4 linked regions of the Sus scrofa genome follow. The protein of the gene in region 1 binds, or shares a complex with, the protein of each later gene. Links are inferred from orthologs where the notes say so. Each region holds a gene or a part of one and is shown on either strand. Other genes may lie near its edges.

Evidence for each region.
Region 2: STRN3 (region 1) and STK25 share a complex: the UniProt entries of both Homo sapiens proteins name them as parts of the core of STRIPAK complex. The link is inferred for Sus scrofa from reciprocal best matches to the Homo sapiens genes STRN3 and STK25.
Region 3: STRN3 (region 1) and STK24 share a complex: the UniProt entries of both Homo sapiens proteins name them as parts of the core of STRIPAK complex. The link is inferred for Sus scrofa from reciprocal best matches to the Homo sapiens genes STRN3 and STK24.
Region 4: STRN3 (region 1) and STK26 share a complex: the UniProt entries of both Homo sapiens proteins name them as parts of the core of STRIPAK complex. The link is inferred for Sus scrofa from reciprocal best matches to the Homo sapiens genes STRN3 and STK26.

The regions. Positions count from the first base shown.
Region 1 is NC_010449.5:68,556,653-68,562,352, forward strand, and holds part of STRN3 (striatin-3), read left to right. Parts: intron 1-1,227; coding exon 1,228-1,403; intron 1,404-1,579; coding exon 1,580-1,627; intron 1,628-2,176; coding exon 2,177-2,298; intron 2,299-5,700. UniProt on the Homo sapiens protein: Calmodulin-binding scaffolding protein which is the center of the striatin-interacting phosphatase and kinase (STRIPAK) complexes.
Region 2 is NC_010457.5:140,150,378-140,156,781, forward strand, and holds the start of STK25 (serine/threonine-protein kinase 25), read right to left. Parts: upstream 3,934-6,404; 5' UTR 3,847-3,933; exon of another isoform or gene 3,786-3,846; intron 3,320-3,785; 5' UTR 3,249-3,319; coding exon of another isoform or gene 3,198-3,248; 5' UTR 1-3,197. UniProt on the Homo sapiens protein: Oxidant stress-activated serine/threonine kinase that may play a role in the response to environmental stress.
Region 3 is NC_010453.5:67,466,861-67,472,560, forward strand, and holds part of STK24 (serine/threonine-protein kinase 24), read right to left. Parts: intron 4,237-5,700; coding exon 4,051-4,236; intron 2,192-4,050; coding exon 2,046-2,191; intron 363-2,045; coding exon 233-362; intron 1-232. UniProt on the Homo sapiens protein: Serine/threonine-protein kinase that acts on both serine and threonine residues and promotes apoptosis in response to stress stimuli and caspase activation.
Region 4 is NC_010461.5:108,233,341-108,239,010, reverse strand, and holds the end of STK26 (serine/threonine-protein kinase 26), read right to left. Parts: intron 5,209-5,670; coding exon 5,060-5,208; intron 3,864-5,059; coding exon 3,770-3,863; intron 3,387-3,769; coding exon 3,324-3,386; intron 3,242-3,323; coding exon 3,105-3,241; intron 1,767-3,104; coding exon 1,742-1,766; 3' UTR 1,342-1,741; downstream 1-1,341. UniProt on the Homo sapiens protein: Serine/threonine-protein kinase that acts as a mediator of cell growth. Modulates apoptosis. In association with STK24 negatively regulates Golgi reorientation in polarized cell migration upon RHO activation.

The sequences.
Region 1 (5,700 bases):
GATAAGTTTTAAGTGTCGACAGTATGTTGATTTGAAGTGACATGTAGTTTTTTTTCTTATAGCTACTTTCTTTGTAGTGTTTGAATTTTTCTTGAGTATTCTGGTGCATTAGTTAGAGGTTTGGGGTGATTAATTACCTTAAAGTAATGGTTGATAAATATCTACCTTGAGTAGTCAACTCTCAATTACCTACTCAAATTAAGCTGTATTTTGCTGTTAACAAGAGAAAAATAGGTAACCTGAATCACTTATTTGCTTTCAGGATACTTCTCAAAAAGCATGTTTTATTTTTTATTTATTTATTTTTTTAAGGATAATGTTAACACATTAGCTTGTCATTTCCTGAATATATAGTCCTTCATTTGAGGGATGGGGAGTGGATGGAAGGGGTATGGGTAGGACAGTGTTAGAGATGAAACTAGTCTTGAATTAAATTTTTTATAGACAGTAAACACTCAATTGAGAGTTAACTATATTTGTTTAGATTTTATATTAATGAATTTGCAGTTTTTCAGCAAATTAATTTTTTTCCTTTTATAACAAATTTCTTTTTTCTGAATTTTTTACTTACATTAGCATGCTTTTTAAAAACATCAGCCTGGGTGGGCTGGTTTATTCTCATTAATGTTTTTAAAGCATTAAACAACTAAATTCTAATAAACTTTTGACTACTTTAGAAGTGGTTTCACAGCCTATCTTTACAGATGGAGAAATGAAGGTAAAAAGATAAACTTCATATCAGTATCAACAAAGTGTCTTTAGTTCAGACTTTTGTAAAGTAACCTCACGTGCTGCCTTGAAAAATGTCACATGTTAATTTTCTAAATGACAGCTGTATTGTACAGTAATTAATATTGTCCCCTTGGGTTTTGGGTAGTAATTTATGTAATTTTTTTTGTTTTCATGTAAAGTATTACAGCATGATAGTTTTTTTGTTGTTCTCATTTGACATTTAATAGGACTTTGGGTTTAGCCTGATGATTAATTAGGTAAGGAGCTCTTCATTTGACTAGGTATTTGCAAGCTAATGAAATGATTCTTTTTAGTTCTTATTAAATGACAAAAGATTTGTTGTAGTTTTTAAGGTACATTAAATTTCCACTGGACATTTTAATTTTAACAAAGCAGTTTTGAATATGTATTTTAAACACACCCTAACAAACAAAAACTCCACATGCCTATCAGTTAACTACTTTTACCACTAAATATTGTGCTCTTTCTTTTTAGTTGCCTGCCAATAAAGATGCCTTTCGAAAGACATGGAACCCCAAGTATACACTACGTAGCCATTTCGATGGAGTACGAGCATTAGCTTTTCATCCTGTAGAACCTGTGCTGGTTACTGCCTCTGAGGACCATACTCTGAAACTTTGGAACTTGCAAAAAACAGTTCCTGCCAAAAAGCAAGTATTTTAATGTTAACCTGTGGTTTTTTCCTTCCAAATTTGCTAATTATAAGCAATATTCTTCTTATGGTCCTGTGTCTTTTATGCACTCGTTTGATCTTACCTAGTGACTCTTGAATATCAACCACTGATTTACGATTATTTGTCCCCCCCCCTTTTTTCCCCTCTTTTAGGAGTGCCTCTTTAGATGTAGAGCCTATCTACACATTTAGGGCCCACATGTAAGTTTTTTGAATTAGTACTTAATTAACAATCATAGTTCTTGTTAACTATTATTTGTCGATCTTGAAGCCTTGCAATTTTCTCATGTTTGTTTTAAATTAGAGGGAGTTCCCATCGTGGCTTAGTGGTTAACGAATCTGACTAGGAACCATGAGGTTGTGGGTTCCATCCCTGGCCTCGCTCAGTGGGTTAAGGATCCGGCATTGCCATTAGCTGTGATATAGGCCGCAGACGCGGCTCAGATCCCGCGTTGCTGTGGCTATGGTGTAGGCCAGCAGCTACAGCTCCGATTAGACCCCTAGCCTGGGAACCTCCATATGCTTGGGTGTGGCCCTAGGAAAAAAGAAAAAAGAAAAGATAGATTAATTGACTAATATTTCATTCGATTAATAATTGTGTAGTAAGAATATAATCAGTATTGTTCAAATGTATGTGTTTATCTAAACTGTTTTAGGTACCACATAAATTTAGAGAAAGGTTGGGGGGATGCAGATATGAGTTTCTTCTTAGTCTTTGTAAGTAATTGTTTTCCTCTTTTTCTGTAATAGTGGTCCTGTTCTATCATTAGCTATTAGTTCTAATGGTGAACAGTGTTTTAGTGGTGGTATTGATGCAACTATCCAGTGGTGGAATATGCCTAGTCCTAATGTGGATCCATATGATACATATGGTAAGTAAAAGGCTCAAGATATTTTTTTAAGTGGATGGAGCAGACAAAAATAATTACCTCAACTATTATAAGATCGTTTAAAGATACATTGGTCTTTTCATTTACTAGTAATAGTACTTTGATTTACTAGCAATTTGCTTTATGAAAGAGAAAAATTAAGAAATACAATGCCATGAATATTTATCTTGCAAGAAGTATAGTTGATTTATAATATTGTGCTAGTTTTCAGGCATACAACACAGCGATTCTGTTTTTTTTTTTTTTTTGCGATTCTGTTTTTTATACACACATACACACACACACATATTCACACACATTCTTTTTCAGAATCTTTTCCATTATGGGTAAGGAGAATAACATTTAGTACAAGAAACAGTTTTTAAAACTTAGTTTATGTAGTTCATAAATATTTAGTGAGAGATGATAAAAACAAATAGAGACATGAGAGTGTGTAAATCAGTGAACATTTTAGAGGACCAAAAAATTCCTTAGTTAAGAAAACAAAACTTTTGGAATTCCCGTTCTGGCTCAGCTGAAACGAAGCTGAGGAGTAACCATGAGGATGCAGATTCTATCCCTGGCCTCATTCAGTGGGTTAAGGATCTGGCATTGCTGTGAGCTGTGTAAGTCACAAACTCTGCTCAGATCTCGTGTTGCTGTGGCTATGGTGTAGGCCAGCAGCTGCAGCTCCAATTGAGCCCCTAGCCTAGGAACTTCCATATGCCACGGGCGCAGCCCTAAAAAGACAAAGCAACAATAGCTTTAACTCACAAATGCCACTTTGAGAATCTAACAGATGGAGTTCCCGTCGTGGTGCAGTGGTTAACGAATCCGACTAGGAACCCTGAGGTTGCGGGTTCAATCACTGGCCTTGCTCAGTGGGTTAAGGATCCCGCGTTGCTGTGAGCTGTGGTATAGGTCACAGATGCGGCTCGGATCCCGCGTTGCTGTGGCTCTGGCGTAGGCTGGCGGCTACAGCTCCGATTGGACCCCTAGCCTGGGAACCTCCATATGCCACGCAGGAGCGGCTCAAGAAAAGGCAAAGAGACAAAAAAAAAAAAAAAAAAAAAGGAATCTGACTAACAGAAATATTTGCACACACATTAAAATATATACAAGGGCAATTGTTTATAATCAAAAAAATTAAAATGGAACAGATGTTTATTAGTGCGAGAATGGTTAAGTAAATCGTGGTCTACTTAATCACTGGCTCATTTAAAAAGAATTCACGAGCTCTTTGATCTTTTTATTTAACACACACTTGAGGCCTAAATTTGCCAGGTGTAGTGTTAAGCATACATCAAGAAATAAGACTTGGCGTTCCCCTGGCAGCTTATTAGCAGGTTAAGAACCTGACTAGTATCCATGAGGATGCGGGTTCCATCCCTGGCCTCGCTTAGCAGGTTAAGGATCCAGCATTGCCTCAAGGTGTGGCGTAAGTTGGCAGATGCAGCTCAAATCCAGTGTTGCTGTGGCATAAGGCTGCAGCTCCAGTGAGACCCCTAGCCCAGGAACTTTCAAATGCTGCTGCTGCTGCTGCAGCCCTAAAAAAAAATAAAAGAGTTCCTGTTGTGGTGCAGCAGAAACAAATCCAACTAGGAACCATGAGGTTGCAGGTTTGATTCCCTGGCCCTCACTCAGTGGGTTAAGGATCTGGCATTGCTGTGGCTGTGGTGTAGGCCAGCAGCTGTAGCTCCGATTCGACCCCTAACCTGGGAACCTCCATATGCCATGGGTGCGGCCCTAAAAAAAAGACAAAAGACCAAAGAAAGAAAGAAAACTTAGTCTAATAGAAAAAGATAAGCCTTAAACACATAAGCAAGGGGATGGATAGTTACACATTATGGTATGAAGTATGGTATGAAGATAACTGATACCTACCAAGAGAGGAGAGTAACAGGCAGAACCCTATTTAGATGTAGAATAAAATAATGGCATTCAAGCTGAAATCTAGAGAATAAAAGTTAAACGTTTAGTAAAGAGTTTTAAGCTAGGAAGTGTCCTATAAATGTAGAATTTAAAAAGATAACTCTTGCTGTTGCAAGGAAAATAGATTGGGGGTGGGAAGAGTGGAGAAAAAAATATCAATGTCATTTAATGTAAAGTTGTAACAGTGATTCCAGTAGATTAGGTGAGAGATAATGTTGTCAAGATTAGAGTGGTCGTAGAGCAGTGGTAGCAGAGCACTTGGAGAGAAATGGATTTAAGGCATGCTGGATTGAAATGTCCATGTACTAAGCCTCAAAACAACAATAAAATTCTCAATTATGAAAGAAAAAAAAAAAAGACATGCTGGAGAGGTGGGGGGAATAGACAGAATATATGATAAATTGGATTAAGTGGATGAAATGATGGATGAGTGACTTATTCTTTAACAGCTTTATTTAGGTACAATTCACATGATAAAATTCACACTTTTGAAGTATACATTTCAGTAGTTTTTACCATATTCACAGGGATGGGCAACCATTACCACTGTTTATTTCAGAACTTTCGTCACCACTCCTGCATTTTTGGCATGAGCAATTGAGTATATGATGGTAGCATATTGAAATGGGGACAGACAGGTGTGAGAAGATAAAGGATGGTGAGTTCAGTTTTTTGGCATGTTAAGAGATGGTAATCTTAAGTAAGTATATCAGTATCAAGATGTGAGAATGGATGGTATTATGTAGGGAGAATATGTCATGTAGAGTAGAAAGAGAAGACAAAATCCTGAGGAACTCTGACATTGGGGGCCAGGAGTAGTTAGAGCAAGAGAGGCAATGAAGAAAACTGAGAAGGAGTGGCCTGTGAGGTAGGAGGAAGTACAGGTAAGTGTGGAATCATGAAAGCATACCAGAAGAAGAAGCCATTTTGAAAAGAAGAAAGCAGTCTGCAGTAGTCATTTTCAATAAATAAGAAAAGTCTAATGTGATAGGTTCCTTTTTGTAAATAACAAATAGGTCACCCAGGCTTTGGCCAGACAATATAGATTGGGTTGGGGCTAAGGGGTGAAGGGACTTCTAAGTAACCTTTCAAGGCATACACTATGGATGAAAAGCAATGTGCTAGGAGGGAGGGAGGAAGGGAAGCAAGTTTTTATTAAATTTGATAGAATAGAGTTTATTGGTTATTTTAGCAAGGGTTGTTTTGCTGTGTGATGGTATCGGAGTGATTTCAAGAATAAATGGGAGGTTAGAAAGCATGTTTATTCAATATATTTTTCTACTATTTGGTGGGAGGTTGGTGTAATTGTTTGGAGCATATTTGCTTGCTGTGGTAATTATTCCAAGGAGGAAGAGAATCTGTATAGTAGAAAAACTGTAAACATGAAAGCAAGTTAGTGTTTTAAGGGGAATCCAGAATACCTGGTGGAATTAGCCTGTAATAGGAAGGAGGATAATTCCTTACTTGTATGAG
Region 2 (6,404 bases), on another chromosome or scaffold:
ACTGGCCATGTTCTCAGAGGCCCAGCAGTGGCCCAGGGGCTGGAGCCCAGGGACCTGCATGGGGTTGGAGCCCCAGGCAGGGCCTGTGAAGGGTGGGCGGGGAGCCTGGCGTCCAGTCCCGATGGGGGCAGAAAGGGCTCTCTAAGCCCTGCAGGCCTCACACCCAACAGGACACACCTCCCTCCAGAGAGGCTGCCCCCACGCCTCAGCAGTGTCACCGGACGTGTCTTGGCGACCACCTGAAGTGGCCAGAAGCAAAAAGGCCAAATCACAACTGGCTTTGCTGTGGAAGCACCGACCGCTCTGGAGCCAAGGGGGCCCAGCCCTGGGCAGCGCACTGACCTCGGCACGGCCAGCCCTTGGGCTCAGCCCCAGGCGGGCTCCGGACAGAGGCGGCACACATCCCACGTGCCAACAGCTGCCTCCCCAGGTCTGGAAACAGAGGGGCCACGTGAGCCCAAAGAGGGCCTCGTAGGGGGAGCCAGCGGGGCCAGGCGAGCAGGGAGGGCCGAGGGCCAGGCCCCGGCATGGTGGGCCGGCCTCCATGAGGTGGCCAGAGCCAAGGTGCCCACTCGCACCTCCCCCGCGGAAGCTGCAGCCAGTGCAGCACAGGGCCAGGTGGCTGCCACCTGGGTTCCTCAGGCCACCCGTGAGGACACTTTCTCCCCCTGCTACGCATATTCTGAAAGTCCCAGCTGCTCAGCTGTCTTTGGGGTGGGGACCTCGAGATCAGAGCCCCGCCCTGAGTGGCCAGCCTCAAGGACTCTGCGAGCCTGTCACCAGCATGAAGACTCACCAGCATGAAGACGGCCTCCCACAGAGACCAGGAAACAGCCCCCGCCCGCTTGCACCCCCCCAAACCCCTGGGCACTGGGCCCAAATGCCACCTGGCCCAGTGCCCCCACGTCCCCTTCACTAGGCCCCTGAGCACCCAGCTAAGTGCTGGCCTGCAGGGCCTCCACCCCCAGCTCATCCAGCCAGGGCTCCTAGAAACGGTGCCTCTACTTCCAAGGGGGCCTCAGAGGGGACCTGGAGGAGGTGGGACCGAGGCCGGGCAGCACTGTTCCTCGGGCTTTCCGGGTTCCCCTCCCACCCTCAGGCCTCCCTCTTCTCACTGCAGCCTGCACTCTCCACCCCAACGGCTTGACGAGAGGCACACCCAGCTGGGTGCCCAGACCTCCACGGCTCCTGAGGGAACTGGGCAGACCCCTGGACCAGGGGCTCCAGACTCAGCAGTGGGGGGAGCTCTGGTCCCAACGTCACACTTTTTGGGTCCCCACTGCTGTGGGTCAGTCTCCTGAGCAGACAGCATGACGGGAGCGCTCCTGGCTGTGACCCTGACCCTACAGGCACATCACAGGGACACCTGCGGCCAGAGCTGGTGGAAGGAAGGAAGGACAACTGCTCCCGAGCTGGCCTTGCACTCCCCTTCCAGAGACGGGCGTGGTTCAGACAAGGGCTCAGGCTGCTGGCAGTCCAGACCCTTGTCCTCTGGTCAGCCCTGGGCATGCGAGGTCAGTGGCCACTACCAGGCAGTATGTCTGCTGGTCATATCGCCCCACAAAATGAGGGGTGCCCAACGGCCCCCAACCACCCCACGATGGGTGGCAGCCAATGAGCTTCCTGCAGCCAGCCAGACCCTGCGGGCAGGGTAGGAACAAGGAACCAGCCGGGCAGAGGCCAGGAGTGGAGGGCCCCCTGCGGGCCGTGGGGGAGCTCACCGCACTGCCCCACACAGGGACCGCCTCGCAGGGCCACAGTGACAACCCTCGCAAGAGAAAACAATGTCCTGTCAGGCTTCCTGCCACTGACAAAGGCCAAGTCTCTCCGCCCCAGAGGACAAAAGGGGCTTCCTTCCTTCAGGGTCCCTTCCTCAGCTCCTCTGGGCTGTGCTCCCTTCCCTGGGCATCTGGTCTGGACACCCAAGCCAAGCCCCTAGTGCCACCAGCACACAGGGACAGGGTGGCTCAGCTCCAACTTCCTATTCCAGGACCCGCGGGACCCATTTCTACAGCTCTTAAAAATAGCTGAAGCCAGGTTTTTCTCCCAGCTTCTCCGTCATGTAATTTACAAGACACGAGATGTCAAAGATGAATGAAAGACCTGCCAGCGGGCTTCAGCATCAGCAGAAGTGCCAGTGCCCACCTGTGGCACGGCTAGTCCAGGATGCCCTGCCCGGCGGCAGCACGTGGCAGGTTTCTGCGAGGAAGCCTGTTGGGTGTGGAGCCGATCCTGACCCCAGCCCCTCCCCCGCCCCGTGGATACACACTTCCTGCTCCCCTGGCGCCCAGGCCTCGCGGACTCAGCCTGGGGACTCAGCCTTACACCCGAGGACGCTGCCTTACACCTTTCAGCAGGCGGCCGAGGAAAACAAAGCCAAGCAGTGGCCACAGGAAAACCTGGCTACCAGAGCCAGAGCGGCACACTCCACGTCCTACCAGCTGCAGATCACACCTGCTTCCCAATAACAGACAAGAGGAAAGTACAAACCATGTGCCACACAACCCAGGGTGCGCTTTGGAGGGTCCCCCGGAATCAGCCAGTTACCGCTCAAGGCCAGACACCCCCAGATGGCTTTTGCTGTTGGCAATCCCAAGACCCAGTCCCCCAAAGAGAAAGGCAGTGGGTGTCTTCCCAAGGAGCACCTGTGGCCCGGGAGCAGCCCTCTCATCCTCTCCTGTGCTCTGCTCTCCCCGCGCACAGACTCGAGAGCTGCGTCAGCACAGCCCCTGCCCAGCACAACACGGCCTGTGTCCCCGCCCAGGCTGCGGCCCCAGCGTGGACCCTGACCTTGCAGGTCTCTCCAGGTGCAGATTCATGCTCGGCAGGATTCCCACCAGAGCCAGCGGCCCCTGCCCTGTTCCCACCACAGGGCTCTGCACAGCCTCTGCTGCCCCTGCACTGGGGCTCTATTTTGCCAAGCTTGTGGGCTTCTGCCCCACACAACTGGGCAAGCTGGCCAAGCTGAGTCGCCCCTGCGCTCACCAAGTCTGAGCGCCTCGAGACTGCTCCCCGCTTCGCCCACGACGCGCTCCGCAGGACTCCCCCGCGCCTCCCTTCACCCCACGCTCGCCCTCGGAGGGACCGCTCCTCTGAAACCTCAGGATGACAGTCCTGGAGGAAGCGCCCTTGCTTAGCCTCTGCAGTCGGTGCTCCGGTAAACACACACACCCCTCTCCCCGGATGCCAACCCTTACCTGGTTGGCAAAGCCCCTGAGGTGAGCCATGTCTGCGCCGCCCTCCACCATCCGCTGCAACCTCGGGAGGCCCCGAGATCCTGCCTGGAGGCTCCGGAGCCCGGCCCACTCGCTTCAGGCAACTGGAGGGAGAGCAGGCCTGCTCGGTTCGAGGCACGCGGGGCTCCCTGCCGCCCTGGGGACCGGCGGGCCGGCCCGCCCCGGGGGCGGGCTGGAGTCACAGGGCCCCTCCGCTAAAGGCCCCCACCGCCGCGCTCTCCTCATCGCCCCGCTACGGCCCGACGCCTCCCTGAGGAGCTCCCCAACACGGGGCATCCCTCGGCGGCCCTCACACTTCCACCCGCAGCCTTGCTCCTTCTTTAGACCCCTTACCCCGGCCAGGACCCCCGCCGGGACCCCCGCCCCAACCCCGCCCCCGGTGCCCTCGCCCCCCCCCGGCGCCCCCCCCCGGGTCCCCCTACCGCCGAGCTCCGCCTCCAGTGCCCTCCTCGCCGGCCCCCTCGGGGCCCTCCCCCTGCCTCACTCCCCGCACCGCCCAGCCCCCTCCCCAACCGCCCCAGGCGCGGGCCAGCCCGGCAGCGCGCCCACCTCCGGGGGCTCCATCCCGGCCTCCCCCGGCCCGCTCCGCAGTGCCCACGAAGGCTCCCACCCGCAGCCTCCGCTCGCCCAGGGACGCCTGGGCCCTCCAGCCCGCGAAGCAGCGGCAGTGGCGGCGGCGGCCGGAGAAAGCCCGGCGGCGGCGTCAGCGACGGCCCGGGCGGCACGGTGTCGTGGCCCGGCGCGGAGCTCTCTGGGACACCGAGTCCCTCGTTCGCCCTGGGTCGGGGCGCACGCAGACCCTGGACTACAAGTCCCGGCAGGCCATGGGGCGGAGTGGTGTAGCGGCCCGCAAGCGTGCCGCGGTGCCCGCTGGGACTCCGAGTCCGGCTTCCTGAGAAGCTTGGGCCTACGTCTCCCGCCAGGCCGCGGTGCTGGGCGGGGCCTGTGGGGCTGGGGCGGGGCCAGGCGGGGCCCGCCCGGCGGCCGTGGGGTTGGGGCGCCCCCACCTTTCAGCTCTGCGGTCGCCCCCCCCCCCCGCCCCGCCTTCCGTCCTCCGGCTCCCCTTCCGAGGGCCTGGGCTCAAGACTCCAATTCTATCTTTCAGGCCTCTTGCAGCCGCCCGCGTGTCGGGGAGGAACGAATGGGTCCCCAGATGCGGTCCAGACGTGCCCGGGGGTAGGAGGGCAGTGCTGACTCGGGCCATTGCAGGGACCAACCGCCAAGACGGTGGCTAAACGAAATAAGCTAGTCCCAAAAGGACAAGCAGTGCTTGGACCCACCTGTGTGAGGTGCCTGGAGTCCTGAAGACAGAAAGGCGACAGGCGGGTGCCAGGGGCAGGGGCGGGCGCTGGGAAGTGAGTGTTTAATGGGGACAGAGCTTCAGTTTGGGAAGGTGAAAAGAATTCTGGAGATAATTGTACAGCACTGCCCAACTGAATGCTTTAAGGTGTAAGCTATCACAATTCAAAATACGTAAAATTAAAAAGGCATTGTTTTTTGTTATATGCCACAACGTGGATGAAAACGTTATGCCAAGGGAAATAAGCCAGTCGCAAAGAGACAAATACCGTGTGATGCGGCTTCGATGACCTCTCAAGACTGGATCAGTTCAGGAGGCAGAGGTGCTTGAGATTTCCTGGGGCTGGAGGAAGAGAGAAGGGATACACCACAGGGTACAGGGTTTCCATCGGGAGTGGAGACCAAGCTCTGCGATGGCCCCACAACGCTGTGAACGTGCTTGACGTCAGTGACCTGTACACTTAAAATAGTCTCCGTGTGTGCTCTGTGTGATTTACATTTTACCAAAACATTTACAAGGATGCAGCTGTAAAGCAATGATAAATTTGATTTCATCGAATGTTTTAAATTTCGATTTCAGAAAGGCATTGTTAAGAGAATGAAAGGACAGTTCCCTCCTCGGGCGTTAAGGAGCCGGTGTCATCACTGCTGTGGTTCTGGTTACAGCTGTGGTGTGGGTTCGAGCCTTGGCCTGGGAATGTCCATATGCCACAGGCAAGGCCAAATATAAATAAAAAAATCTTTTTCTTGCTTTTTAGGGCCGCACCCACAGCATAGGGAGATTCCCAGGCTAGAGGTCTAATACGAGCTATAGCTGCCAACCTACACCACAGCCATAGCAACGCCAGATCCGAGCCTCCTCTGCAGCCTACACCACAGCTCAGGGTAAACCCAGATTCTTAACCCACTGAGCGAGGCCAGGGATCGAACCCATGACCTCATGGTTCCTAGTCAGATTGTTTCCACTGAACCATGACGGGAGCTCTAATAATTTTTTTTTTTTTTTTTTTTGAAGCTAGAGAAGTTCCCATCATAGCACAGTGGAAACGAATCCGACTAGGAACCATGAGGCTGCAGGTTTGATCCCTGGCCTCTCTCAGTGGGTTGAGGATCTGGCATTGCCGTGAACTGTGATGTAGGTCGCTGGTATGGCTCAGGTCCCACGTGGCTGTGGCTGTGGTGTAGGCCAGCGGCTGCAGCTCCAAATAGACTCCTAGCCTGGGAACCTCCACATGCTGCAGGTACAGCCCTAAAAAAAAAAAAAAAGACAAAAGACAACAAAATAAATAAAATGAGAGAGAGAGAAAAAAAAAGACAAGCTGTGGTTGCCACGGCTGCAGCTGAGGTCGTGACTGCAGCTCTGGTCTGGTCCCTGGCCGGGGAGCTCCATGTGCCATAGGGTACTGGAAAAAAAGAAAAAGAGAAAAGACAAGCTATCAACTGGAAGAAAAAAAACTGCACATCACATTATCCAACTGTTTGTACAGAGAATATATAAAGAGTTCTCAAAACTCACCCGTTAAAAAACCACCCAAAGAGAAAAGTTGAGGATAGACTTAGACACTTCACAGAGGATGTACCGATGGCACACAGCACGAGAGCAGCTGTGCCACCTCGTGAGCCACCAGAGAAGTGTGCACCGAGCCGCAGTGAGAGACTGACTACCCGCGTTGGAATGGCTGCACCGACAGCACCAAGTGCTGACAAAGACGGGGCGACCGACCACCCGGTTTCCCGGAGTTCCCAGGTTCCAGCACGGAAAGTCCTCTGTCCCAGAAAGCTCCGAGGTCCTGGTCACGCGGACAGCTTCGTGGAAAGTCAGCCACACTCCCTGCACAAGACCGGCAGTCCCTCGGCTGGGAAATGGAA
Region 3 (5,700 bases), on another chromosome or scaffold:
AGAGCAGAAACAGCAGCACCGCAGAACAGACCAGAGTCCATGCTCTCAGGTCTGATGCGCTGGGGAGTCAGACACAACATAATCTCTTGATCTGTCAATTCCCTGACAGCAAAATTCCGCAACAGGCCGCCGTGAGGGACCACAAGCCCATGAAAACAGCGGGCTTTACACAAGCGACTCCAAAACCCTGCTGACTGCTGACAAGCGTCAGTCACAAGTACCGTAAACGTACCTTATTTCTTTCTAAATCCGACGGCTGAAGAGCTCCATTCTCAAGACTCTTCGGATCTTTCTCCCGGATTGTGAAGATCCAGTCCCCAGAGTCACTGCCTCCGGATGCCTGGCCATCTGTGTCCGTTTCCCTGAACACAGAAATCCCAGTGAGTCCCCTGGACAGGGGACGGGACGAGGATGGGGACTTCCACCCAAGGCCACCCAGCCACCGGGCGTGCCTGTCTCCACCCCGCACTGCAAACCTGCTTCCAGCCTCTCCACGCCCCTCCAGCCCCACCAGCCCCTCCCGGGCCTCCTGCTTCACAGAGGACAGGCCACCTCCAAGTGCGGCTGCTGTCCCCTCCCGCACCAGGCCTCCCGCCCCTTCTCCAGAACCGCCCCCTCTGCTCCGGCTGCCCTTCCCGGACTTGAACCCCTCCCCTTGGGCTCCTTCCCAGCAGCACATCCACTCGCACCCAGCGCACCTGCCTGCCCGCAGCCACAGGGCCTGCAGGCCTCGCCTCCGTTTCTCACCTGCCACTCACTCCAAAACCACCCCACCCCCACAACCGCCACAGCCAAGGCCTCCACCAGGCAAGGAACCACTGGTCAGTCCTCGTCCAGCTTGAACGCTCAGCAGCGAGGACCCCCTGCTCACCCCCTCCAGAGTCTCCAGACTCCTGGGCTGGCACTGCACCCAGATCCGCCCGTCCAGTCCCACGGCCACCTCTCATGCTGGTGTTTCCCCCGGAGCTGGTCCCAGGCCCCTGGCCCTTCTCACCCGGCAGACGTGCTCTCGGGCGTCCAGAGACCACCCACAGAGCCGCGACCCTAAGGCGGGCCACGTGCTGGGGCAGCTGGCCTCAACGCCAGACCTTGCTGCTGCCCGAAACTGAACACATCCTCTTGGATGTCCAAATGTGTCCCCACTCAGCTTCCGGTACCCTGGCTCCCCCGGACCAGCATCTTCTCCAGTGTTATCACGTCAGGGCACCCGCGACGGAAGCCGGGATGGCCTCCAGCTCCTTTACCGAGAGCCACGGTAAGGCCTGGACGCCTCGTCCCCATCCGTCCCCCTCGCCACTACCCCAGCACTCAATGTCCTGACCTCAACGACAGCGGCCCAGCCAGTGGCTCTCACTGCTGACTTCACGATGGAATTGCCTGCGACCCTGAACAACACTCTAGGTCTCACCCCATGGGCCTGGAACGTGGACCTGGGCCATGCGTCCACCTGCACTTCTGGCCGAGGGGTGAAGGGGCACAGACAAGGTGCCAAGGATGAGCCCCTCTTGACGCCGCTCTCATGCTGCCTCTTTTCTCACGTCAGAGCAGCCGGCCCAGCACCCCCTCCCTGCAGGCTGACCTAAGGCGCCTTTCAGATCAGGAATTTCCTAGCGGAGGAGGCCAGTGTAGAGCCATTCCTGGTACAGGGCCTTTACACTGTCAGGCATACACCACGCACAACCCAGAATCACACAAACACTCATCTCTGTCTTTTTAAAACATAAAGCAATTCCATCTGATCAGTATTTTAAGAGCTGGAGGGATAAAGGAATAAGAAACCAAGTCGAGTTCATTACACACAGCTCTATCACAGACTTTACTCAGAGAAACCCCACTGGCCACAAAAAAAGGCTCAAAAACACCCAAATACAGCCCCATCCTGACACGAGACGCACCATCAGCCAGGACCGTCTTCTAAAAAGACAGAAGGAAGAGAAAGAAACCCGAACCCACCCCAAACCAGACAGGAGGCCCGAGAGGCCGGGGCAGGTGTGGCCTGGCTCGGGGACACGGTGACACCCTGGGCTCAAGCTGAGCAGACTCACGTGTCGGAGTCTTCGGAGCTGGAGTCTTCGTGGCTCTGCTCGGCCTTCCACCTCTTGTACCTGTCGATGAGCTCGGTCAAGTAGGATGTCTTCTTTGCGTTGCGGATAATGAACTTGTGCTTCAGTAGCTCCTTAGCGGTAGGTCTCTGGAAAACCCACCACCGGGCGAAACAAGAACATCATGAGATCACGTTCTCTACATTCAACTCGATTCTACCCTAAAAAGTTGCCGACGACCATGCTTCTGTGCAAAGACAGACCTACATCTGCGTTTTGTCCTTGAATTCTAAGACTGCAAGAACGTGGCCTGGCACCTGCGGGCAGGATCCGGTGCCGGCATTGGTTGAGTGAGGCCTCTGGTGGCTCAGCCGGGAGGTAACCTTCCAGCGACAGCAAGAGAACGTGTTCCAGGCAAATGCCTCTTTCGGGGGAAGAGGGCGCTTCCGCAGAAAACGTCACAGAGCGTTTCAGAGCTCGTTCAATCATCAACACCAATGCTGGCAAGAGGGAAACGTGTTCCCTGTCACCCTGTCAACTTTGGACTTGAGTCTCTGACTCCACCCCCCAAAATAGTAAGATAAATGCTCATTTCACTTCATCCAGAAGAAAGGAGCCAGGAGATGCCCTTTTCCTGGATGCTGAGAGAGTGGCCAGGTCCTCAGCTCTCCTAATTTAAACGCCGGCGCCCCCAGGTGCCTCTCGCCGTGTGATTGGGGCGAGGAGTCCCAGGCCCTGGGCTCAGCACGGCCACAGCCACACAGATGCTCAGCCGACTGCCTTGTCCTGAGGATGGCAAACCCACCTCAGGGTGTATGTGGCCCCAGAAAACCAGGCAGACAGCAGGGACACACACACCACCCAGGTTAGACCGCGGCCCCACCTGCTCTGAGTTACAAAGGGCCAGGCATGCGCCTCCAGCTCAAGCTGGAACAAACCCGGCCCCTTTGGGCATTTCTCATTCCCTGACCGAGTGAGTGTGACACTCCAAGACTCTCCCACGTACCCCCATGTCCAGCCTCTCAGTGCCTCTGGGACCAAGGTGGGGGTGGCGACGTGGGTCCCGGGCAGGCAAGCCGACGCCAGGGATGGATTGGTGATGAGAAGACAGACTCCTCTGAGGCTGGGACAAGGTCCACAGCCTCACAAACACAAAGAACAGTCCCCACGCGGCCTGACTGAGAGGTGGATTCTGCCTCCCCCGGAGGTTCCGAGACACGGCTGTATCCCCACTTAATCCTGTGACCAAAACTGCCATCCCACTCGCAAGCCATGGTGCTCTGGTGAAACCAACCACCGCTTTTTGGATGGGGGAGGGGAGAAGGGAGGTGAGAAATTTCAGCCCAACCTGCAGTGACCCTGCTGGCAAGTTCAGAAACAAAACAAGAACATGCGGTGTTACATGTGACCCTAAAATGCACAAATAACTTTCAAAGAAACATCCTAACGCAGAGAGAACAGCGGGCTGAAGGCACGCAGTCGTCACGGCCACACGGCCCCGCCGGAGGCGAGAGCAACGCCGGAGGCAGGACGGGGCGAGAGGCACGGTAGGCTCGTTTCTGGGCCCCCTCTTCTCCCTCCTCATGCGGGCCAAGAAGAAACTCAAAACACTCGCTTGAAAGACATACGTAGCCATTACTTTTGAGGCCAGACTTTGCAGTTGCTGAAAGAGCTAACAATAGCCCGGCCTTGCAGGCCAAGGGTTCAAAACGCGGGCGTCCACACGCGCAGCGAGGGGAGCAGGCAGCGAGGGGAGCAGGCTTCGGGCTCCGTGAGGAAGGAGGCGCTAGAACATCCGAAAGACACTACGTCGCCCTCTAATTCTTAAGAGAGAAAGTAATAAAAATGGATTTGCCATTCAAAGAAACCAATCATCGCCGTTTCGAAAAAGAAACAGCGGTGAGACGAGGGAGAGAGCTGCTGACCGCGACTGGAGCAAGGTCAGCGCGACGCATCTGGACGCCGCAGGCGCCCCGGGAGGCAGCCGCCCTGGCCGGGGGACACTCACGAAGCTGGGCTCCTTGTTGAGACAGGCCTCCACAAACTCCTTGAGGGGCTTGCTGTAGGTGCCCTCCAGCGTCGGGGGGTTGTTCTTCGGGATGAGGAACAAAACCTTCATGGGGTGCAGCTCCGAGTGCGGCGGCTCCCCCTTGGCCAGCTCGATGGCCGTTATGCCCAGCGACCAGATGTCCGCCTGCAACGACAGGGTGCTGTTAGCGACACGGAGCAGGACAGCGTCCCCAGGGGAGAAAACCTCAACGTGCTTCTCGACGAAGACACTTGTTTTTAACTGAAAACTGTAAGCATGAGCCCTTGGTATAACTTCGAAATAGGCGACACACAGGAGAAAATTTCACAACACAGCAATCGCCGTCCACAAGGAAGACGGCCTTGACCGTGACTGACGCCTCCTCCTTCCTGGGCTGACGGAGGTGGGCGGCATTCCGCGCTCACTCAAGTTCCCAAGTCAAGGGCACAGGTAACCAGAGGTGGGCAGAGAGGGCGTGTTGGGGGCCAGAGGCACACCTGCAGGCCACCCCATCAAGCCATACCCAGAACCCGGCATGGCTCAGAAGCGGGAGCAGGCACCCGGCTCTCTGGGGTTAAGGCCAGCTCTACAGCCAGTCCTGTGACACGAGCGCCGCTCCCGGGCGCCAGCTCGCTCCTCTGTGAACCGGCGGCTGTGCGGGACGTCCCACAGCGCCCGGGATGCGGAGCGAACATGCACACGTGTTTTAAGGGCCTCACCCGTGGCATATGGAGGCTCCCAGGCTAGGGGTCCAATTGGAGCTGTAGCCGCCGGCCTACACCACAGCCACAGCAACGCGGGATCCGAGCCTCGTCTGCAACCTACACCACAGCTCACGGCAACGCCGGACCCTTAACCCAGGGATGGAACCTGTGTCCTCACGGATGCTAGTCAGACTCAGTGAGCTACCACAGGAACTTCCAACACCTGAAGTTAGTATCACTCCCTCAAGACCATGTACTAATTAAATTTCCAACTGTTCAAAACAACTCTTGCCCTGGTTGGTTTGTCTGAATCAGGATCTAAACAAGGTCCAGATGTTACAATGGGCTGTTAGGTGGTCTAAGGCTCTTCTCATCTAAATGGACCATACCCGGTTTGCCCAGTGGCACTGACCTAATGGAGGAACGGACCCCAAGTTCTGGATTCATCTGGATCCTTCCTGCTGTCTGCCACACACTCTCCTAGAGCCTCACGTCCTGGCCAATGACAGGTCAGTTACACCCAGAGGCTTGGCCAGGGTCACTGCAGGCAGGAACGAGGGCATCAAGGGGGTAGCCGGTGCCGAGCTGCCGGCCCCCTCCTGCCCGGCCTGCGCTGTGACCACACTGGCTCCAGGCGGGGGAGGAAGGGACGCCAACCGTGTGATGGGAACGAAACGAGCAGGCCGCCTGGAGGAGCTCTGCTCGACGGGATTTCTCTGCAGCCGACACCACCCCAGCAAAGACGACAGGCGCTGCAAAGAAAACAGGAGCCCCCACGCCCAGGCAGGTCCAGAATGGGATGGGGGCACCAGCTGTGCACTCAGCCCACCAACCTGCTACTGTCACCACGCTGCAAAGAGCCCAACTCCAGACAAGGAGGTCAGAACCTCACATCCGCTCCACCACCAGGAAACACAAAGGCGGA
Region 4 (5,670 bases), on another chromosome or scaffold:
AACACTGAAGTACGCTTCACCCAGAAACAGTTTACAGGACTAATAGCTCTAATGAATAAGCAATACAATTTTTTATCCATGATGCAGTTGCGCTGTAAAGTTTCAAATTATCAATTTAAAAATTTGTTGCTTTTACTTTTACAAAAATATTCATTTAGTACACGATGTGATTTGCAAAACTATTACCAGACCTCTACAAATTATAAACTGCAATTACATAGCGTTACACAGCAGCTGAAAATTTTAACTGAACTATTACTTCAAAATACGTGTTAAAAGTAATTGTTACAGTATAGGCACCAATGCAAAAATCTGCTGGGCATATGACGCGCAATGAACTACTTATTCAAGTGTCTGCATTATTACAAAAAAAGGAGGAGGTAATGGCCACTGTAAAAACTATACTCTTTACTTCAAGAACACCTTTCTTCTAATATTTGGCAATTATTCAGATGTATTAAAATGACTTTTGTGCAAAAACCAAATTGTGCAGATCCAAACAATAAAACATTAACTATTAAAACTAATCAATATCAATAATTCTACAACTACTGAAATATAGCCCCACTTCAGAACTTAGGCAAGCATAATATATATACTGGGCTTAAAGGAAAAAGGTATTACCCACGTAACAGTACCATAAATATAACTGAAAATTTAACTGTACAGTCTAACTTACCTTTGTGCGGGCAGAAATCATCCTGTACTATGATTATTTTCATGTGAATCAAAAAATGCTTAAATACCCTTTCAAAAATGAACAAATGATGCTTACATGTACTGGATAGTTTGAAGAACAAAAAAAAAATGTATAAATAGTTTATAAGACATTTTACTACCATGCCAAAAATATGCTGGTGTAAATTATAGTCATACCTGTTGATCAGGTATTTATGATCACATTATGATCAGCTTCTTTTGAGCTCCCCAAATCCAAGCATATGATATGTGATTTGAGGTGATTTTAAAAATGAATCCTGACTAGTTCTTCCAGTATTACTAAAAAACCCATCCTCGGCTAATTGGTATTGCTTTAACTTTCCAACGTGTTAACTTAAAGAAGGGTCAATTGCCTCTTCTAAAAGAGAAGGTAAATACTGCACACCAAGAGGTACCTCTGTTGCTACATGTTGCCTATAAATGCTTCCAACACCGGGCTCTCCAATGTGATTGTCACTGAGCTGCCTGGAATACCATCAACTTGGTAGAAGAGTCAATACCTTTCCAGATGTCATTTCTAAAAGCTTATCAAAAAAACTTCTGTTTTAAGAATGTCTGACTTGTCTCCACCTCCCTTCCAAGAGTCATTTTTAGAATATGCTTGTGTTAAAAAAAAAAAGCTTTTTGAAGCTTGATGACTTACGAAAGTTGAATATTTAGGATGACTGTGAAATACCTGTATGTTTCATGAGTGTACAGTTAACTAAAGATCAAAACATGAAAGGTATTCATCCTAGTAACTTAAGTAATAATGATACCTAAAAGCAAAACTGTATCTCAACCTTTTCTAGAATACAGCTGAAACTATAGTATTAAAAGTTATTTCTTACAAAATAATCTCTTTAAAATATAAAATGATAAACACCATCACAAAATAGTTGAATAGCTTCTTTCAAATCTTCAATGTCGCAAAGATCCAAAAGGCACATGGAGCTCATGAGTTAAGCATTGTTAAGCTTGAAGTAGCTTTGGTGGGTTTCTCTGGGTCCATATGAAAGAGAAGCCAATAACAAGACATTTCTTAGGGGGATTCATCTGCTGAACACCTATAAAATTAAGAAAAACTTAAATTGATATATAACTATGCATGTGCACATTTTTCATTCATATGAACTCTGCAATCGAGTTGATGCAGCAAACAATTTTTTTTTCTATTGCCTCTCATCATGTAGACATTAAAATAGAAAGGAGTTCCAAAATCCCTTCTGCGTCCGATTTTACAACTTGCAACTGATTCGTTTGCAAGCTGGCGAAGAGAGGGCAGGTTTTCCATTAAAAACGAAAGGATTTTAAGAGGGGCTTTAGCTGATGAGTACAAACAGACTTTATCAGCAAGAAAGATCTAGGAGAGTATGTGGTTTACAGGCTGTCTGGTCTGTTCCAACTTGATCCCAGTGGCATCACAAATACAAAGAAGTGATATAACGAGATTAAGGCTGAGATTAGTACTGCTCTATAACTTGCTTGAGCTAAGGAATTGCGTGTGTTTGTACATGCATACAAAAGTCTTGTTTAAAAAGAGAATTAAAAAATTAAATGGAAGAACTTCACTGAATGTGAACAAAATTAAACCAACACTTTAAGAGGCACTATAGACACTGAAATATAGACATGAGAACCTTTCAGAGTCTTCACTGAGTTTCTATACCTAAAATTCTTTCCTTAACTTTTCTTATGGGGGTTAAACTTGATGAACTTTGGCACTGAAACTATGTGAATAGCAGTGCGATAAGAAGAGTGGCAAGAATGAAAGCATTTCTAAATGGTATTTACAAGGGTCCAAATAAGATCATGCCCTGTGACCTTTTGTCTATACGCCTGCCTACGAACAGGGAAAGGAAAACAAAACAAAACAAAACCAAAAAAAACCACAGGCCATTTCATTCAGTGGCAAACTACCTTGTACTGCCCGAAGAGAAGAATCCAAAAGCTAGTGTTGAAGATGGGCCACAAACAGAACAGGTTTCAAGTATGTGACTATTAAGAATGGACTTGGTTAGGAATAATCGAAATGACTGAATCAAGTAGGTAATTATGACACCATAAATGAACATCCAGCAGTAACATGTCAAAATAGTTGTTTTGTTCTTTTGTTTCCTTTTGCTTTTATTGGGGGCTGTACCCGTGGCATGTGGAAGTTCCCAGGCTAGGGGCAGAACTGGAGCTGCAGCTGCCGGCCTATGCCACGGCCACAGCAACCATGTCAGATCCAAGCCATTATCTGTGACCTATGCCACAGCTTGTGGCAACGCTGGATCCTTAGCCCACTGAGCGAGGCTAGGGATCAAATCTGCATCCTCAGTGACACTGTCGGGTTCTTAACCCGCTGAGCTACAGTGGTAACGCTCCAAAATCGATTTTAAAAAATGACATTTCAAGCTTACTTTTGAAATTTTTCAATTAATTTCTTCACCATTTTATCTGTGATGCCAGGACAGGCAGCTTCGGCCACGGCAATGCTTTTCTCTAGTTCTTCAATTGCCTGATTCCTGCTAGCATTATTCTCATCCTGCTGTTTAAGCTGAGAAAGATCAATAATTATAACATTTACAATTACTATACTTCTTCAAATAGATCTCCAAAGCTAATGAATCTGTACTTACTTCAGCAAATGCAGGTGTGATTATCATAGACAAACAGCTCAGGGTTTGCACAAGATCTTGCTCCTTTGAACAAATGTTATAAATTATATACATGAAATGAAAATAATCATTCATGTGTGTTAATTTGCATCCCTCCCCCCAAAGACCCAATGTAAGGCAAGTCTTCATGCTTTCTTCCCATCAATAACTCCCATCTATATCATCCAGAGGCCTCTAACTTCTAGGATTCCAACTGATAGACCTGTTTCCACCGGGTTTAGCTATCTCTAGGGAAAATGCATTTTAAAACATACCAATGGCCACTTAAAAGACTTCTCTGATCATTTCTTAATTAGCTCAAAACTAACGGACAGGCATTCAGGGGTATTCGATTCTAACAATGTTTGGCCATCATAATCGCACTATCTAGTCCTAACAAGAGGAGGTGAACATCTGGATATACATACTGCCCCGTTCTGTAGCTTCTTTGGATCAGGCTTCTTTCGCACGGTGGTAAAGCTCCATTCGGGATGAGTATTATTTTCCCTGGTGGTGGATTCCCTAAAGAGATGGCCAAAGATACTTCCATAAGTTCCTAAATGGTATAGGTGGTGAAAATACCAAGTCAATGCTGTCAGATTCTGAATGGAAAACTGTCCCGATGTGTTAAAAAATCATTTGATCTTCAGCTTCAAGTCGACACTACTTTCTACGGGACAGCAGCAGTGGTTCTCAACTCTAAAGTGTGTACCAGAATCACATGTGAAGACCTCTAACTCCATAATATAAAGGCCGGCCCCCACCCCTTCCCACTGACTGGATCAGGATCCCCTGTAGTGTGGCTTAGTGATTTGTTTTTTTTTTTTTTTAAGGCTTCATGGGTGAGTGTCATGGGCAGCTAAGGCAACAGAGAGTAGAACAGGGTACAAAAAACCATCCTCATTTTTTTTTTTTCTTTTTAAGCCATTGCACAGCACATACACTTCCTGGGCCAGGTATCAGATTTGAGCCGTGGGTATTAGCAATGCCGGATGCTTAACCCACTGTGCCAGGTTCCCAATCCCTCTGTGCCACAGTGGGAACCCCTATCCTGATCTTTTTTTTTTTATCCTTTTCAAAAGTTGGGAGATTTCTCATAAATGCAGGTATTATCTAAAAAAAATTGGTGTTACCTCGGTATCAGTTCACCCAGTGGAGGAATAAATGCTGGTGTAGCCGGCAGACTTTTTAGGCTGAATTAAGTAAGTTATGGACTTAGAGGCTAAAATGGTAATGTAAATTGCTGCAGCTAAAAAACAATGCAACATTTTAGGGGATAGAAATCAGATATAAATAAGTATGTACCAATCTGACCATTTTGGTACATGGCCAAGAAAAGTGGGAAAAGTTAGTTCTCCAGAGGGATTTTGCAGGTTGCCTCCAAAGTATGAGAAGACATAGCTCCGTATCACTTTGGGCAAACTAAGAAAACACCTTAAATTGAATCTTGTTCCAAAATTTTGTAATATACTTAAGTATCCACTAGGGGTTAGACCAAGACCATTTAAAACTAAAGCAATTCATTTCTAAGAAAAAAATCTGTTTCCAAATTCATTGTGCTCTACAGGTTGTGATTTTAAAAGATGGCCAGTTTCTAAAGTCAAACTCTAGAGCAGAGTTTATATTTTATGCTTGGGAAAGCATATTGGATTGTAGTTAAAAGATGTTGTAATATTAAAATGTGCTGTCTACATAAAAATTGAATAATTTGCACGTACGAATCAGAGCCTTCAGAATCAGATTCATCATCACTGTGTCCTTCTGCCTTCCATCTCTTAAATCGATCTATCAGCTCGGTCAGATAAGAAGTCTTCTTTGAATTTTTTACGATGAATTTATGTTTCAGAAGTTCTTTAGCTGTAGGACGCTAAGGAACAAAGAGGCAGGATGCGTGAATATTTCTAGGCTCTATGATTGCACGGAGTGATAAGAAATCATTGCAGTTATTAAGCTGAAAGGCATAAAAGCATGTCTGTAGACAGGAAGACAACTAAAATGTCATAGGACACTAGGTAATTCTATTTCTGAAGTGGCTCAAGGCAACCAAATTAAATTCGCTACTTTGCTGCCCACTTGTTACAGCCGAATGGGCAAAAGGTGGCCTACCTACCAGCAAACGGGCAGGCAGGGCTTTCTTAAAAGCAGAGAAACACATGGCAGGATTTCGATAATCAAGTAAAACTTTTAAAGTATTTCCAAATAGTGCTTTAAAATACTTTCGTTACATTTACTGGAAATTGGAAAAAAGGATGAAAACTAGCAAGGCTGTTTCTTTGTTATTATCTGCACACATCCTACGACCCCCAGACTAATCCCTTTCCCATCACAC